Kluyveromyces lactis: one gene and its partners. The main gene of each other region encodes a partner of the protein of the gene in region 2 in a complex. Links are inferred from orthologs where the notes say so. Each region holds a gene or a part of one and is shown on either strand. Other genes may lie near its edges.

Region 1 (4,488 bases), on a different chromosome or scaffold from region 2:
CAATAATAATACCTTGTTCATATTTCTTAATAGAACGTCTTGTTTCGTGAATACGGGCTTCATGCTCTTCATCTGTTTCTTGCACATTGATGGAGTCTAAATCCAACTTGAAGTAGTACAAATCTTTTGATTTAGAATGAGCAAGAATTAAACCCAAATCAAATGCGAATTCCTTCAAGAAATCCAGGTTGGCCCGAACCAATTCTTTATCCTCAAGAGGGAAAATTTCGAAATCGGCATCCTGTAATTCAGAAGTGACCTTCCGTTGAACGGTTTTCAATAACCATGGTTTTACGGCGCCAATCAATTTCTTTTGTTGTTTCATCAACAACTTTTTACCCATCCTAGTACGTTTACGCTCACCTTCCAAGGAAATATTTTCAAGTTGTTGATTGAACCATTCAACGTCAATATCTTTCTTCTCAAAGTTAAGGTATTCAAAATCGGACAAGTACTTCAACCAAATGGAAAATCTTGCCAAATTTATCTTACCTTGTTCATTAATGTAACCATCCATATGTTGGAGAGCTTCTTTAAAAGTTTGTAATAGCACAGGGAATGCACCTTTTTTCAAATGCAAATCGGGCAAATTTGGTAAGAAATCATTACCGATGGTAAATAATACAAAGATGAAATCATCTAATACTCTTTCAAAGTCGTATTCAAACTGCACAGAATCTGTTATTTCTTCGAACTCTAATGCCAAATATTCTCTCAAGATAGACAAATGCAACAAGAAGAAGTTCTGTGTTTCTAGAGTTTTCACAGAAGACGAACGTTTACCAAAAGTAACTTCTTCTCTTAATAAACAAAAGTGGTGATCATGGGTGGATAAACCTAGGATGATCAAATCAGCATCTAACCCGTAGATACAATGTCTTGTATTTGGATTGTAATCCTCTTGTGCTCTAATTGCTCTGATGTAATCCATGATCTTATGTTCACCTTCACCAGGAACCTCATGCCCGGAGAAAATAACCTTCACGTTCTGCCATCTGGTATCGTTGGTGATCTTGTCATGGATGAAATATTTCAAATTCTCGGTTAATTTTGCCATAAATTCTGTTCCTGGGGTAATAGCGTTGGAATCAAATGGCTCTCCCTTAGGCAACTCGTCACCATTTTCAATGGCCTTCTGCAAAGCCTTTTCGGCATCCATGGCAGTTCTGAATCTACGAGCTCTTTGTTGGTTCATCTTTGCTCTTGGGGCCACACCATCGATTGCCATATAAAATGTCTGTTTTGGTTTAATAGTATGGAAAAGATGATCAATATAACTGAAAATTTTGGAATAAACTTCTTCCTCTGATAGTCTTGAATTCACCTCGCTACCATCACCATGCGTACAATTATGCAAAATAGAATTCATATCCAAGTACAAATTGTCGAACTCTGGAATCTGTGATCCATCGATCAATTGAGAAATTTGAGGCCATCTCTCAGAGATGAAATGAAAGAATTTTGGAATACCCATTTTTAGTTAAGCCACAAACCGTAATTAATTGAACACTTTCTGAGGTTTGCTTTACTGACTTTTTTCCTCCAACAATAGAAAAGATCAACAACAACTGGGATTGGATAGTACCAGTAGTATACGTTGCCGAACAATGAGTAACCACTTTTAGTGAATTGTTATAATATACCCTGATATGGATGAAAGACCCTGAAAGTACATTAACCAAAGCTACTGTTTAGTAACATAATCGTTAAGGTAATTTGGTAATTCTTTCCAATGTTCAATCGGAATATTTTTCTTGGTGGTGGCAAAATTTTTTGAGACGAGGTTTATGGGTTACCCGGATCCATAAGTTCAAGCTTTTTTTTCTTGTTTTATACTCTTTGATGGAAGAGTTGAAAACATTTTGAATATGGAAACTGAGAAAGTAAACAGATGAGGTTAAAAAGAAAGATGGAGAGAGCAGAATTGAGACACCAATTGATACTGAACAGTAAGTTGAATTAACTGAATTTACGGCGTGTAAATATCTAATACTCTTATTACTGATAGAAACGAAATGTTTGGCCGTTCTTCTTCTACAGGTCCTCCAGTAGGACCAAGCACAGGAGGAGGATTATTTGGGAATACGGGCAACCAGCAAAGCACTAGCGGTGGTCTTTTTGGTAATAACAATGCCACATCAGGTAACACTGGAGGAGGGTTATTTGGAAACAATAACAATACAGCGACACAGACTGGCGGAGGATTATTTGGCAGTAATCCAGCAGGCACCAACAACAATACGAACCAAACCGCAGGAGGACTTTTCGGAAGTTCTAATAATACAGCCACTGGCTCCACAGGTGGCCTATTTGGTAACTCAGGAGCCGGGTCTGGCGGAGGCTTATTCGGGAATAAGTCAGCACAACCACAGACCACTGGTTTTGGAAGCTCTGGAACTGGAGGAGGATTATTTGGATCCAAACCAGCACAACCACAGACTACCGGTTTCGGAGGCTCTGCAACTGGTGGAGGATTGTTTGGATCCAAACCAACTACCGGAGGCCCATTCGGAAATCAACAACAGCAATCCCAACAATCTGGTTTAGGAATGTTTGGACAAACACAAAATCAATTTCAACAGCCACCACAACAACAGATACAACAGACTCAACAGAGTGCCATTAATTTCATTAACCAATTAGCTATCACGCCGATGACCAAGATATCGGAGCTTCCGATTCAAATTCGTCAAGAAATCGAACAATTGGACCAATTCATTAGAACGCAAGTGTCTTTATCCAAACATCTTGAAGCTGATCTACAAGATCAAACTGAACTATTGGATTCAATCCCTCGTGACATCAAGTATCTACAAAAATTGCATTTCAACGCAACAAGATCACTATCATCAGATTTGAAACGAATCGATGCCATCAAGACACTAGTGGATAAAGATGTTAAACAATTGGAAAATTTTGCTATAATGTTGCAACAACTAGTCAGTAAGGGATTCAAAATATCAAACGTTGAGATAGATAAGTTCTTCCAGGAAAAATTAATCACATACAAACACAAATTAAATGACTACAACGACACTCTAAGCAATATTGACGACGCAGTGTCAGGTCTAGAGAATGATCTCTTTGGGAACGATTCATCCGAAGATGATGATACCAAGGTCGGTGTTAACATTATCGTCAGCGTTCTAATCGAAGAGTTCAAACTATTCATGGATACAGCTGAAAGAATAGCAGAACTGCATCAGAAGTGTAAAGAAATAATAGTTAAATAGTCGATATTATTCTTTTAATACTATAAAAAAAGAAAGCGTTCAAGAACATATTACCTATTGATGCAGATCACTAACTCCTGCACATGCACTGCACCTGCACCGCATCTGCCACTTGTCTCTTCGCAGTCTTCTCTTCTCAGGCTCCCTTTATCTTCCCTTCCTTATTTAGGTCAATGAGTTGTGAAAAAAGGGAATTTGATACGACAAATATAAAAGGAATAAGGATTAAAAAATGGTTAACAAGGAGTAACAGTTTTCCCGGAAACGAAAATGTGAAACAAAGAACAAAGGAAAGGCGTCCTGGTTTTGTGATTATACTCAAGAAATATATATAGGACTGATAAGAATTTTAGAACGTTGCTGGCAACTAACTATCATTATTGGAATATCAGAGACATATTAAGTGTGACATTTTAGTATTAATTCTGTCAGTATAAACTTATTGTAGATCAAGCTTCAGGCGTAAAATCAAGGAGCTAGGAGATTTTTTTTTTGATTAAAGCGAAGCGATGGCTGAAGTAAAAGATAGATGTACATCAGTGGATGGAAATGACACTTGGGGGGTCGTTGGTGGTGTGGACGGTACATATTCCATCAGGGATCTTGACGCTGGTGAAATGGACGATATTTTATCGGTGACAAGCAGCGACTTAGAGGATTCCGCAGTGTTGCAGAATAAGAAAGGGAGCGTTAATCATAGTAACAATACTACGTCGTTATCCACGCCACTGGATTCATTATCCAACGTTGCGCCTGCAAAGACAACAGCAAGGAGCAATACATGGACAGCGCGCTTGACGAAACTTCAATCCGTTATTCTTGGAATTTCGTTGGTGGCCGGTCTCATCAACATGGGCCTCTTGACCGTTTTCATCCGTGATATTAACAGTTTTACTAAAAACAACGAGTTAGAGTGTAGTTCACTAGCTTTCAAGGACAGATTGGCTTGTCAATTTGATGCATACATGGGCCATAGGGCCCATGCATACGAAGCAGCATACGTGAAGAAAACGCCACTTCCATCCACTTTAGCATCATATTACCCTAGCTTCCCTTCTCTTGAGCAATATTACGAAGTATGTCAGAAGAAGTTGAAATTTACTTATGCAGCAACTTCTAACTGGGTCAGTACAACGGTGAGGCGTGAAAACTTCGAAAGCGTTAAGGAATGGACGAAGAATGCGAAGGAAACAGCAGAAGACCGGATCACTGCTTTCTACTCGCTAACTAAACAGAGATTCGATAGCTACAAGGA
Region 2 (3,406 bases):
TTTATCGGTGTTACGTATTATAGGAGAGAGTTTTAAAACGCAATGAAATCTGCATTCAAATCTGAGTTCCCATTTGAAAAGAGAAAGGCTGAATCTGAAAGGATAGTGCAAAAGTTCCATAACCGTATTCCAGTGATCTGTGAAAGAGGTGGCAAATCGGATATTCCAGACATTGATAAACGCAAATATTTGGTGCCAGGAGATTTGACTGTTGGCCAATTTGTTTATGTAATTAGAAAGAGAATCAAGCTACCTGCTGAAAAGGCTATTTTCATCTTTGTCAATGATACTTTACCTCCAACAGCAGCTTTAATGTCTTCTATTTACCAACAACACAAGGATAAGGACGGGTTCCTTTATGTATCCTATTCGAGTGAAAACACTTTTGGTGACGATGCCCTGTTTTCTGAGGAATGAGATTAAGTTAAACTTTCTTCCCTTTAAGTTTTCTTTTATGATTCCATTAGGTTGTTCTGCTTGATGCAAAACAAGTAACTAATGCACAATTTTGAACCAGATATTGTTGAAAAGATGATCTAAAAGAAAGAACCTGAATAACAATATTGAAGTGATGATAAGATGAAATGCATTGTCGAATGTCTACGATGCTATTATTTTCTATTCTTCCACACCTTTTGCTCTAGATATATACCGAAGCAGTATTTGAAATCTTTCTGATATGTTTTCCCTTCTATTTATCCTATTCTCATATTTCTAGCTGCAACAGTTCCCTAGATCTGGACAAAGCGTTGCTTATAATACCTGCTGATGAAGTCATATGTTGCCGTTCCATAATGAAATCTCTAGGCTTTTTTTTTTCACTTCGAAAGAGGTTCTTCATAAATATACAATTTTATATACCTCTTCAGCAGATTGCAGGTCGAAATTCGGTTTAATATATTCTTTCCATAACCAAAGACTTATCGCAACATCATAAGAAAGCAATATTGATATTAGTTGTTTTGTTTATTAAGATTGGGGTGAAAATGTTATTTATCAATATAGTATACAAAGGGAAATAAACACCACAACAGACGTTTTAAACTAAAGCTGTTCTTTTTTTTACCATCTCGCTGAAAGGTTAGAGTAACTCAAAACACACTATCACCTGTGCGCTTTTTGTAATTTTCCAATGGGTCATTTTCAATTGAATACTTGTCGAAGGAACGAATTTCTTCTAGTGGTATCAAATCTCTCAATTTTCTGTCAGAGTGATACCATTCTTTAATCAGCCAAACCATCTCTTGTTCGTAAATATCGTTGGAGCTGGTAGTTGTTTCAATTAAATCTTTGAGAACATGGTACATTCGGTCGTATGAGACGCCAGCTTGGATGAAAATAGATGCAATTGAACCTGCTTTGATGTGTTCTTTTGGAAGGTTCTCATATATTAGGCTACAGATGTGTGGGAATAAATCAACAACTGGGAACACAAATTCACTGGTACGTACATTCTTACCAACACGAATCACTGTTGATGATGCTAGACTAATGAAAGTAGTGCTTTTTTCCAGTTCATCCGTAGCATTGTTCTCTGATAAATGTTCCTTGAAAGAACTGAAAAGCTCTTCCCATTTCGATATGATTTCCTCATGATTTCTAAAGTCACTGACTTTGAAAATGAGCAGACAAATTTCATAATAACTCAATGGTGCGGCAAAGTCATTATAAAGTTCAGTCACGGTCAAAATTTTGCCTTCAAGTTGTTGCAAGGCTTCATTTCTGACAGTCGAATCAATCCTGAGGTCATCCTTGAGAGCACGGACAATTTCATCTTGAATGCTTGCTACATCGACAACTTCTTTTATCATGCCAGATAATTGAATCATGGCTTGCCTTTGGCTTGGCGGAGAGACTCCATTACAGAAAACGTTAGCTCTTGACAAGTACTCAATTCTGTTTTGTAGAGGAATATCGAAATCCGAAATAGCTAATGAATACAGAATTTGAGCTGCTTCCAAGAAATGCGATCTTTTGGATTGGTAAACCCAAAGAAGATTGGAAATTTCTAGGGATTTCGCTGCTTTTTCTTCTAAGTATGGTAGAATAAAATCTGAGTCTAGCTGAAGAAGCTTTTCTTCAGACTTTTGCTGTACCAACCAATCATACATTTGATAATGGAATAATTTGTCGTTATATTTTAAAGTAACGTTGTAAACCTCATCGCGGGTTTTTTGAATATCTTGATTGTTAACATTTTCAGGCAGAGCAGCTAGTTGGTCAACTTTGATTAAAGTTTCGAACACAATTTCATAGATCGAAACTCTAGCATTGTAGTATTTTTTCCTTTCATCGTGTTCCAAAGATCCATCTGCAACATATTGAAGTGCCAATTTACCCTTGTCCATCGCATTGGCAATATTCAACAAAAATTCGACGGTTTTTGGGTAGTAATTAAGTTCCAACATGATACCTACAGCCTCTTTTATCTTATCTAAAGACACATCATCAACTATTCTTTCAAATAACTTTGCTGCATTGGTTAGGTGATAGTTGAGTGTTTCTTGATCTCTGAGTCCTATTTCTTTTGCTTTTCTCAAGTGCTCGACAGCTCTAAAGCCAAGAACATCACCGGTGGAACAAAACGATCCACAGCGTTCTTGAAGTGCAGTAGCGATGTATTCAATAGATCCACCTTTTGTAATACTTCTGTTGATGATTGAGGAGAGAATCTCTCTTATTAAATTTTTGGTTTGTTCATTGGGATTGAAAATATCCTTGAATTTCAACTTGCTTAAGTCGTATTGAATATCGAAATTCAAGTACTTCATAATGTCAACAAATGCTAAGTATTGCCCTTCGTAACCATCTACTTCACTCTCTTCGAATAGTACGTTCAAAAATGAAAGTGACTCCTTTATGGATTGAAGGAGTTTGATAACTGCGTTCATAGCAACATTTTCTGCCTGATGCGCAACATCTTCTCCTTTATCCACCACCTTTTCTCCATTAATTGGAGAAATATTAGTGATTGTTGTAATTGAATTACCATATGATTGGAAGAACTCGTTTAAAATCATTACTGAGGATAGATAATATTCGATATCACCTCTTGATACAACGATTTTTGTAATAATATTATCACCTTTAATTGAACTCTTCATCACTGAATTATCCGGATTAATTTTTACATGGGGATCGAGTTGGAAAATATCTTTATCCCATATGTCTCTAAATAATCTGGCAATCAACAGAGCGGTACCGTAGAATCTAGCGGACAAGATGACATCATCAAGGTTGAAATTATTTGCACCAGATACATTTGGTGTCGAAAGAGTATTGGCAGTTTTGCTTAATTCAGTAGAGCTTTTTTGTGGGGTCATCAAATTCAGTGATGGTTTACCTAGTAGTGTTGATACCGCACTGTTCGCGTATTTGTTGTATGTTGGTTTGATTTCCACAACAT
Region 3 (5,290 bases), about 140 kb from region 2:
TGATATTAGGATCGAGGGAGTTGTGTAGTGAGAGCTTGATGTACTTTTCATATACACCCAATCCTTTTTCCCAAGTTGGGATGGTGTGCGAAGGAAACCTTTGCAACAGTGTTTCCAAAACTGATAAGTAATCGTTATTCCATTTGGCATTGATTATTAACTTTGGACCTACGGTAGTAATGGTGACTAGTTCCGCCTCCTTAAAGTCGCCTGCTTTCAACAAATTACTTACTTCGGAAAGATGGTCGCCAGAGTACTTCTCGTATAGTGCCAGATGACGATGGATTATTGGAGCTGAAATCTGTAATCTTTCCAAAATTGGTTTAATATCATTGGAGGTGAAATACAAAATTTCTGAGCTTAGCAACAAATCTATGGTATTCTTGGCGATAGCATCATCGGCAATGAAACATGCCACGAATAAAGCTTCCTTATGCATTCTGTCAAGCTTTAGTTGATCAATGAACTCTAACGTGATTCTGTCACGCAAATGTTCAGTAATATCTTCTCTTTGTAACATATGCGTAAAGAACCAACAGAGCCGAACATCGAATATCTCCGAATGCGATCTCAATTCATCTAAAAGTTGCTCAACTGGGATAGTTGGGCAAGCAAATAACTTCATAATATTCATTGACAAGTTTTCAAAAGTTGAAACAGACGATGTATCAACAAATGGATTTGATATAGCATTCATAATCAAATCTTCTAGAGTCAATGAATCGATATCTCCATAATATACTTGTAAACCTAAATTCACTAACCGCGAAAACTTGTTACTCTCATTTACCAACGCAGTAGAAGCGAAAGGATTGCCAGTGAGTAGTTGATAGATACTAATGACTGTTGGATCCACTATAGAGCCTAAAGATTTCCATTTAGTTAACTGTAGTTGCGCGATTTCACGAACAATTGGATCATTGGACCCCAGTAACGTTATCAAAACAGATAAATGTTTGTTTTTGGAAATTATAGCCGTCTTTGAAGCATTTACAATGTCGTTGACAGAGAGGAAAAGAAGTATTTTCTGAATATCAGAAGCAGTGGATAGCATAGAATCAATCTCAGCCCTTGTTTCATCGACTATCCATCCACAGAGCTTTGCATGCCGTTGTTTTTTAATAAGAACTTTTTCAACTTCTGGGGAATTGACAGCGTATGGAAGGGAAAGAGGATCAAACAAAATGGATGCTAACTTCAATATTTTGTCTTCATTTGGGACATCAGAATATGCAGAAGCAAGATTATCGAACTGTAAGGAACATTTCCCAACAAGAGGATAACCATTTGGTCTGGAGTTGACTATGGATGTGTTCAGATAAGAGGCGAACACATTGTCAAAAGAAGATTTATTTATTGGCAAGTTGGACTGAAACACGATCTGCTTACAGCCTGACAACTGTGATGGATCTTTGAGCAATAATTGCCCGTTAATATTAAACTTCGCAAACCACATATGTGAGTTGATTCTTCTTTCTCTTTTAACAGATTGGTATGTCAATAAATCTTTCTTAAATGAAGGGAACAAGATATCGTCCAAAGAATTACCTTGCGTGTTTTTGAGTAAAAGTGGCTTGGAATACACAGACTGTTTGGAAGTACCTGCTAATTGTAATTGTTGCAACCAGTTCGATGATGTAACAAGTTTAGGTGCAGCCTCGAGGATATTCAAATCATCTTCGTCTAAATCAGAAGGTTCGTAAGGTTTTTCCTTGATAATAAGTGACATGTCTTGGTCAACAGAGTCGGATAGTACTGGAACCAAATCTAGTACTTCTTTCTCCATTGCAAGAGCCTCTGCTGCTGTGAGGTCTGCATTGCTTGGTACCTCCGCTTCAAGGGACGTGCTAGACTTCTTCACACTGTGGCGACGCTTGGGAAAGGCCAGAGGTCTGTCTCTTATTTCCTCGGCGTTTATTCTTTCTGCTTCTTCAGCATCCACCTCCATATCTTCTTCATTGACCATTCCCCAAACACTGAAATGTTTAACTCTAAAAGTCCAAATTCCACCAAATGGGTTATATGAAATGAATTCCATTTCTTTCATATTCCTTAAACGCTTGACAAAATATTGAACTTCAGCAATTTTCGAGTTGTCTTTAATGGGTTCTTTTGTTTTTTTATCGATCGGATAAACATTTTCCAAAGTTATTGTAGCAGGTACATTGACACCATAACCAACATCCGGTTTATTTTCGGTATCAGGATAGACTTCCACGGTTCTATTCTCATTAAAAATTATTGTTCTTCCGAATAGTTCTTCAAAATCATCCATAAATGCAGTTAAGTCAACTTCATAGTCAAAACTGATGGAACCAAAGTTTTTGCGACCAATCACAAAATTGGGCACAACCGTGAGCTGGTTTTCCGTAAGTTGCTCTAATTGTTCGATAGTAGGTGAGCACCAATAGTCAGTTGCTTTATTCGTTATTTTGTGTTCTTCATCCAGACAGACTTCCGAAGTTGGCTCTGTTGGACTAGTTTCTGAAGGATGTGCTGAAAAAAGAAGTTTATCATTCCTTGGTATACTAATCTTATGATCTTTCTCGTCCATATCTTTCATTATGGTAGCGGAAGAGTGACCGTTAAAGAGTTTCATCTTTTTGGCAGCGCTTCTGTCTGTATCAATGGTTAATTTTTTCATGCTTGAAACGTCCTGGTTAAAATAAGAAGCCAGTGAGTTTGTCTTATTGTTAATATTCTTCCCTTTTTCCTTACTCTCATCTCTTGAAAGTGCCGAGAAAGTATCCTGTTGGGCTAAGTTTTTATTTGATGGGGAGAACAAACCATGTGTTGTTTCTCTGCTCTTCAAATTCTTAAGTCTTGAAGTTAGCTTCCCTATCAGTGTTGAATTGCCTGTGGGAGGTAATATATTGTTGCTGATCACTGATGATGCAGTTGAAAATTTTCTATTTTGTTTCGAGTCTGAGACAGGCTTTCTCTCGTTACTCAGGGATGTAGTAATAGATTCTGGCATTGACAGCACAGGATTTGGACTTAATTGCAAACCGTATGGGTTGTTCGTTGGGGGTTGGCCAGGTTGCTGTGGCTGTTGTAGTTGAGAAACATTGAACAAGCCTGTTGAATTTGTAGTTGGTTTGCTGGACGAGAATAAGCTCCCTGAACCTTGTGTTGATGAATTTCCAAACAGTGAAGTCTTTGGGACTGTTGACGCCGTGTTCGTGGTATTATTAGAAAATAGACTATTAGTTTGCGATGGAGTATTTCCGAAAAGTGACCCACCATTGTTTGATTTATTACCAAATAAACCACCACTCTGTTGCGTATTTAATCCGTTTGATTGGAACGTATTGTTTGTTGTCGCACTGGGGTTATTTCCGAATGAGATACCAGTAGCTGTCTGTTGTCCACCAGAATTTCCGAATAGCTTGCCAGCACCATTGTTCTGCTGGGCATTCGACCCTGGGCCAGAAAATAATGATGTGTTGGGCGTTGATGCAGCGGCGTTATTAGGCTGGAATAGAGAATTCGTCTGTGGTGTATTCTGGGAAGCATTGTTGTTTCCAAAAAGATTCAACCCAGGCTTGTTGTTGTTGTTCTGAGCATTGCCAAATCCTGTTGGGTTTCCAGGGCTCGGCGTGGAGAGTGTATTAGCACTAAACAATGTGCCAGTATTGGGTTTTCCATTCAAAACCCCATTGTTCGCTGGTGTAGAAGTTGTAGGTGTTGAGGTGTTCGCGTTGCCGAATAACGAACCAGGCGCTTTGTTATTACCAAACATAATCAACTTGTTGTTGAATTTATGATGATGATGTTTAAACTGTACAGATTCAAAAATGACAGCAGTAACAAAAAACTGAGAAATTTCGTCTGCAGCAATGAACACCAGCTATGGAATTGGTTTTTAGAAGCTCTGCGATCAATGATAGCCAAGTAGTGCACTTGTTAGAGTTCAAAAGGTGTTTTGTTTACACTCATCTTACTGTTTAAATGTTATAGAATAACAATTTTTTGGAATATTGCCATTCGAGAGAAATTTAAAGAAATATCGTACGAAACTATATACTGCGTAATGCCTAAAACTTGCGCTACAAAAGCTCGGATATCCATATCAAAGAGCTATATTACAATTGGAGAGCCATTTAAATACCTTTTCATATTTCTTTATGAGATTAGACGTTAGATTTCTTGCTGTTTTTTCTTCGCCATAGATAATATTAACATTGATGGTCGCATTTTTAGAGTGACATATCAAATCAATAAACCTTTCCATAGGCAAAGAAAGGGCTACTTTGCAATGATATTTATAGTCCAAATGCTGGAATGTGACATATTTGATCTGAGAATTCTGTGATGGGGCATTGACGGTTGCCGGGAATACGAGTTTTAATTTTTTGAATTCTGAAATGACAATTGAAAGATCTATCAGTTGACGTTGCAAACTTGATATGCACTGTAGTCCATTTATGAAGGTTCGCTGGCAAGAGTTGATCCAACAGTTTATAAATTCTCTTTCAAATTGGTCTATTCGTTCTTCTCTAATACTGAATGAAATACATGACGGTTGATCAATTTTTGAAAGATCAGCTGTCACAATAACTTTGTCGTCATGTAATGATACAGATAGGACTGGACCAACTAACTTTCTGAACTTTATACCAGAAATGCTTTGGTAAAGCTGATGGACTAGTTTAAGCTTTGCCACATCATATTCTGTGCAAACTTTGCTTTGTTTCAAGTCCTGTCGAAGTTGAGCAATCTCTTCGTTCACTTTACTCATCTCCAATTTTGCATCTTGTATTTTTTGGGTAAGTTGATCTTTTTTAGTGGTCAGCTGGTTCAAGTCTGACACCTTTAGCATGTTCTCCCTCAAGTCTCCTTTCAATTTGTTCACTTTCAGGAGAGTCGTTATGTTCTCTTTCTTGTTACTAAAAACATCGTTGTGCTGCCGAAGAACATCAAGTTCTTTCATTAACACCTGTTTGATGTCACTAACTCTTATTTTCACGTCATTTATTTCATTCATGTATTTCATGATCTGGGCATTTTCATCCACCAAGATAGCTATATTTTCTTCCAGGACTGTTTTAATTCCTTTCAAATGTTGTGATCTCCACTCAAACCAGACTTTTTCAGATTGTAATCTAGCCATTATGGTTACTAATTCTAACTTTTCGTTAATAGCATAACGGGTATCAGTATCTGCCTCAAAATACTCTTTTATCAACCTGGGGGGTTCGTTGGATGCAATCTGCTCTCGAAGACTCTTTAAGAGATTCCTTGATTGTAGAATTCTTCGGGTTAGTTCTTTTGCGGTGAAAGCTTGAAT
Region 4 (5,527 bases), on a different chromosome or scaffold from region 2:
CCTGTACAACTTCATCGGAAGATATTGTACTGAATTCTTTAAGTTCAGCAGTGGAATAGAAAGCACTAGGCATTTCAGGAAGATACCTTTCAGCTATATATTGCTCATCATTTTCAAAGGCTTGTAAAGTAAAGTCTGCACTTTCTTTAGTAAGACTTTGAGTGGAAGCGCTTCCTACAGGTACACTCGCTTGCACATGCTGTGAAACATATTCTTTTGTAGTAGTACCGGATGATTTACTCATTTTGACTGGAGGATAATCTACCACAACTGGTGAAGAAGAGACGCTACCAGATTCTGGACTGACAGTTGAAGATGGTACAATTTCTTGATCCTTTGAAAGTGCTTCCTTTTTCTGTTCTGAACTTGCGAGGTTAGTAGAGGGAGTTGCCACTTCGGGGTCCGGCTCATCACCAGTTTTCTGTTTTAATTCTGGTTCTGGCTCTCTCATAACACTTTCGTTGCTAATAGAATTGACATTAGACAGTGGTGAGGTAATTTCAGAACCATCCTTCTTGAGATTGGCAAAGGAAAATGCGGGAGCCTTTCCTGTATCTTTGGATAAGGAATTTGTGAAGCCCGAAAAAGGTGAGGAATCTTTGTTTTCAACTGCTGTGGATTTCATGAATGGATTGGCAATATTCTCCGTTGAGAGGTTAGCCGCTTTCTTTATCCTATCGGTAAAAGAAGCAACAGACGATCTGGTGTCATCTTCCTCAGTAACGTAAGACGCAGCAACAGGGGTTGTGCTCTCCGCCGATGGGAAAGATCCTTCAGTGAGCAGATCACCTTTGACCTGCTTATCATTTCCTTTGTCTTCTTCTTGCTTTTTCTCCTTTGATACATCTTTAGTATCATCTTTCACTTGTTCTTCATCTTGCGCTTGCTGCTCCTTCTCCTCTTCCTCTCCCTCCTCCTTTTCTTCTTCTTCTTCTCCTTCTTCTTCTTCTTCTTCTTCTTCTTCTTCTTCTTCTTCTTCTTCTTCTTCTTCTTCTTCTTCTTCTTCTTCTTCTTCTTGCCCATCTTTGGTCTCCACTTTTGCTTGTTCTTCGTTGCTTTGCTCAGCTTCATCCTCTTCTATGTCACTGTTTGAGTTCAAAACAGTTGAAGAAGGTTTTGAAGAGGCTTCGATGTGTATATCAGATCTATCATTATCATATATTTCCCTGTCCTCTCCGTATAAGGAATCACTTTCATCGGTAGAGGATACAATGTTAGATTCGATATCGTCTTGATCTTCTGAAATGCTCGAATCATTAGCTGGACTAGGCACTTCAGATTGATCGTTTTCGATCGTCGAATCGCTGACTTCTTTCGAATTCAAAGAATCTTGAGTGACGGATGGCAAACTGTGGTTAGCTTCTGATATAGATTCACCGAAACCAGTAAAGTTGAACGACTTAGTGTCTTCTTTTTTAGAATTCAAGTGGCCGAATGGATCAGAAGTCTGAGTTTCGAATGGATTTATGGTCTTTTGGTCTGTAGCAAAGGCAGAAAATGGTGAAGACAATTTCGCAGATGTAGCGAATGAATTCGGTGCAGGGTTGGTAACAGCGCTGTCGCTGCCAAACTGAGAAGTTCCAAAGAGCGATTTTCCAAAAGACGACTCTGATGAAATTTTTGTGTTGGTTCCGAATGGAGAGGTAACATTAGCTCCTTGTATTCCGAAAGATGTGGAGCCAAAACTTGGCGTTCCAAAGACAGATGACGTCTCTGCCTCTTCGGACAAGGGTGAAGTGGTATTAGTTTGAGATTGGGTACCAAATGATGTACTTCCAAATGTTGGTTTGCCAAACGCTGGTTTACTGGGCGCCGATTGGTCAGATACAGGTTGGCCGAATGCTGGTTGTCCGAATGCTGGTTGTCCAGACGTTGGTTGACTAGATGCAGGTTTACCGAAAGTTGGTGGACCGAATGCTGCTTGGCCGAATGCTGATTGTCCAGATGTTGGTTGACTAGATGCCGGTTTCCCAAACGCTGGCTCCCCGAATGCTGGTTGACCGAATGCTGGTTGACCGACTGCTGATTGTCCAGATGTTGGTTGACTAGATGCCGGTTTCCCAAACGCTGGCTCCCCGAATGCTGGTTGACCGAATGCTGATTGTCCAGACGTTGGTTGACTAGATACAGGTTTGCCGAAAGTTGGTAGACCGAATGCTGGTTGACCGAATGCTGATTGGCCAGGTGTTGCTTGGCTAGATGTTACTTGGCCAAATGTTGCTTGGCCAAAGGCAGGTTTTCCAAATGCAGGAGATGAACCAGATGACAGCAAAGGATTTTGAGAGCCCTCAGACTCAGCATTTGTACTATCCGTCATGTTCTTCGGAGTGAACGAAAAACCTTTAGCGAAGGAATTTGTAGTTTCAAAAAATGACGATTGTTCAGGAACCTTTCTTACTTCAGTTATTGTGTTCTTAGTGTCTTGGGGAGAAATTAAAGTAACTTTTTCCTTTTCCATTGAAGAAGAACCACTTTCTATTTTATGAGATAAGATTTCGAAAGACTGTACATACTGAGTTTTGGTTGGTTCTAGCGTGAAACTCGAGTTTTGTAAAGCAGAGTGATGGAATAAAGCCCAACAAAATAGTTCCCCAAGATTGGTGAGGACATATAATATCGGTAGATTGTCAGCAGCCTCTACTCCGGAACAAGGCTCATACACAGTACCACTGGAAAATACATCTAGGGCCATCCCAATGGGTTGTGTATCATTATCTGTTTCAGGGTTGATTGGAAGAATTGCACAAGCAGCATCTTGGTCCGGTTTATACATCACGTTCGGTGTGGCAATCGATAGCTCTGATGCACACGATGATCCTATAACGAATAGATGTGGTAGCTGCTGAGCGAGTTGATACAATGTTTGAGAGTAGTATGAAGGATTTCTTTTGACTGTTGAATAGGGAGGCGCGATATCCATGGAAGGAGTAAAAGATTTAGTATTGACATTGACAAAATATACGGTTAAATCGTACATGATATCTTCTTCCGAGGCATCGACCGGTTCGCCGTACGATACGAGTAAACTGCTTTCTGACAAAGCGTTTATGGACAACGGTTCGTTAGGTTCATCGAGAGATGGCTTTTCAATAGAGGATGTGACGTTAAACTGTTCATCCAGTACAGCTATAGAACCATTTTTGTGTAAAACATAAAGTTGATGTTTCAAAGTGTCAATTGCGATGCAACCTGTGATTGAATGTAACTGTTCGGAAGAATGCTTTTGCGATAAGGATATTTTAAACACGACATTAGCGTTACTCGCAAGAAGTACATTCCCTTGGAAAATTACAGAACAAATGACTTCATTGACACCATTACCGTCCCAGTATTGTTCCCAGGCGAATTGGTCCAATTCGGTAACCCATACTGAACCATCTTCTAGGACCGTAGCCAAACTCTCTGCCACAAAAAAAACGCCCACTACTTTCGCCGTGAACTCTTTCGTATTTAGAGTGATGAAGGACTCATCACGGACAGATTGCAGATCATATACAGACACAGTCTTGGAAGAAGCAACAGCTAGTAATTTTTTCAACGGATGTATGGAAGCATTAGCCAGTTTTGAGAATGGCAAATCCTCATTGAAGCCTGGAACAATTTGTTTAGAGAATAAAAACTTGAATCCCAAGCTCTCAGTAGTTTCAACATTCAACGCATCAACCACAGAGGACGTCATTGATTCTGTATGTGTTCTTTTATCTGTGCCGACAGTAGTAGTTTCAATCCGTTAGTGTATTAATATAAACCTCAGCTGCTTATTAATTTGTAAACCTTGAATTTCAATGGGCATCAGTTGCAATGTTCAGTGCTTGTACAGGTTTGAAGCTTTTTGATGATAGCTTTGAAGTAAACAAAGTTCCAAAAAGAAGGAAATTATCAATCACGTGATCCGGAAATCAGTATGAGGTTAGTGTTCATGTTTTATTGTCTTTACTATGACATGAATGTTTTGAGATATAAAATTTTTTAGATGGTCATTAAAGAATACGTATTTAGTTAGGTAAGTATCTTCGAAAGAAGTAGGCGTTAACATTGTAATTGAGGCCATATCTGTAATGAAAACAAAGCGGATATTGTTGTTCTGAAAAAAAAGCGAACAAAATGAAAGGCAATATATATATATATCGGTATCAAATGGAACGCCAAGAAGAATGATACTTTAGTTGAATGTGAATCATTTCAAAATTGATAACCTAGGCTGGTGATCCATTGGACAAAGCAAAATAACATAAACTTAGAAAAAAGTAACACTTCTTTTTAACACTTGTGTAAAATTACTAAGTATGCATTTAAGCAGCGAACGATAGAGACCAACCCAACTTGTGGACTGGTTCAGCCAACTTCAAAGCGTCGAAAGAAGCACCAATACCTAGAGTGACACCTGGTCTCAATATTTGTTGGTAGGACAAGGCGACGATACCGGAGTCAGCAACCTTAGCCTTAACTTGAGAAACGGCGTCCAAAGCGTACTTGGAAGCGAATTCAATGTTGACATTAGAGCCAGCTTGAGGGTTCAAAGCAGCCTTAGCACCGACTTGCAAGATTGGGGAAACCTTTTGGAAGAAGGAAGCGGTGATCAATTGAGCGTTGTTGACGGACAAACCAACGGAATAAGCACCAGAAGCGTTGTAACCCAAAGCCAAAGCGTAACGGGAGACGGCACCAGCAGAGATGTCATAACCAACTTCAGCACCACCAACGAAACCTTCGTGAGCCAAGGTCAAGTCACCGACGAAGGATGGACCCTTCAACAAATCGAAGAAACCTCTAGCAGCAAACAAAGGTTGAACAAAGTTAACGTTCAACTTAGCAGCCTTAGAGACACCTGGAACACCAGAAGTGATCAATTCAGTCTTCAAGCCTGGAGTCAATTCAGCCAATTCGATCTTGGTGTCCAAAGTGTTGGCGTTGTTCCAACCTTGGGTGAAAGTCAAACCAGTAGACTTGTCAGAGGCCTTAACTTCAACGTTAGCAGCAATTGAGCCATCTTTTGGAGAAGTTTTACCCTTAACAGTGAAAGCAACACCGTTTGGAGCAGTGGTCTTAACGTCAACAGAAGCTGGGGTAGCGTGGAAGAATTCCTTGTTCAACAACCCATTGATGTCCTTGGAAATATCAGAAAAGAATGGAGGAGCCATTGTAAATCTTTGAAGTTATTTTTTGTTAGAGGGCGGAAGCAAGCTTTCGGAAGTGCGATTGATCTAAATGTGAATCAATTAGAGTTCAGTCAACCGCTAAAACCAAGAAGGAACTACTACATAACACAAAAGCAAGAGACAGACACCATTTTAATTCGGTGTGCATCCAAGATTTTTCGCAAATTTCCCAAAAAAAAATATCTCGATCTCTTTCATTTATATATAATATCGATTTTATAAATACAAATAATGACAATGTGAACTTTTCTCGATTTTTCACAGTTTTCAACAAAAATACCGTGTAGCCAGAAAATGTAAACATTGGAAAGCACAAGGCTTCCCAAGTGAAAATTATAGGGGACGAGAGATTTAATACAGTGGGAACG

The links.
Region 1: NUP170 (region 2) and NUP49 share a complex: the UniProt entries of both Saccharomyces cerevisiae proteins name them as parts of the nuclear pore complex. The link is inferred for Kluyveromyces lactis from reciprocal best matches to the Saccharomyces cerevisiae genes NUP170 and NUP49.
Region 3: NUP170 (region 2) and NUP145 share a complex: the UniProt entries of both Saccharomyces cerevisiae proteins name them as parts of the nuclear pore complex. The link is inferred for Kluyveromyces lactis from reciprocal best matches to the Saccharomyces cerevisiae genes NUP170 and NUP145.
Region 4: NUP170 (region 2) and NUP159 share a complex: the UniProt entries of both Saccharomyces cerevisiae proteins name them as parts of the nuclear pore complex. The link is inferred for Kluyveromyces lactis from reciprocal best matches to the Saccharomyces cerevisiae genes NUP170 and NUP159.

The regions. Positions count from the first base shown.
Region 1 is NC_006042.1:2,088,221-2,092,708, reverse strand, and holds NUP49 (FG-nucleoporin NUP49), read left to right. Parts: upstream 1-2,015; coding exon 2,016-3,233; downstream 3,234-4,488. Other genes in the region: chromatin-binding exonuclease XRN1, read right to left, coding at 1-1,474; KLLA0_F22341g (uncharacterized protein), read left to right, coding at 3,743-4,488. UniProt on the Saccharomyces cerevisiae protein: Functions as a component of the nuclear pore complex (NPC).
Region 2 is NC_006041.1:1,829,655-1,833,060, forward strand, and holds the end of NUP170 (Nup170p), read right to left. Parts: coding exon 1,092-3,406; downstream 1-1,091. Other genes in the region: ubiquitin-like protein ATG8, read left to right, coding at 43-417. UniProt on the Saccharomyces cerevisiae protein: Functions as a component of the nuclear pore complex (NPC).
Region 3 is NC_006041.1:1,685,999-1,691,288, reverse strand, and holds the start of NUP145 (nucleocytoplasmic transporter NUP145), read right to left. Parts: upstream 3,743-5,290; coding exon 1-3,742. Other genes in the region: kinetochore-microtubule binding complex subunit SPC105, read right to left, coding at 4,073-5,290. UniProt on the Saccharomyces cerevisiae protein: Functions as a component of the nuclear pore complex (NPC).
Region 4 is NC_006042.1:329,549-335,075, forward strand, and holds the start of NUP159 (FG-nucleoporin NUP159), read right to left. Parts: upstream 3,680-5,527; coding exon 1-3,679. Other genes in the region: porin POR1, read right to left, coding at 4,293-5,141. UniProt on the Saccharomyces cerevisiae protein: Functions as a component of the nuclear pore complex (NPC).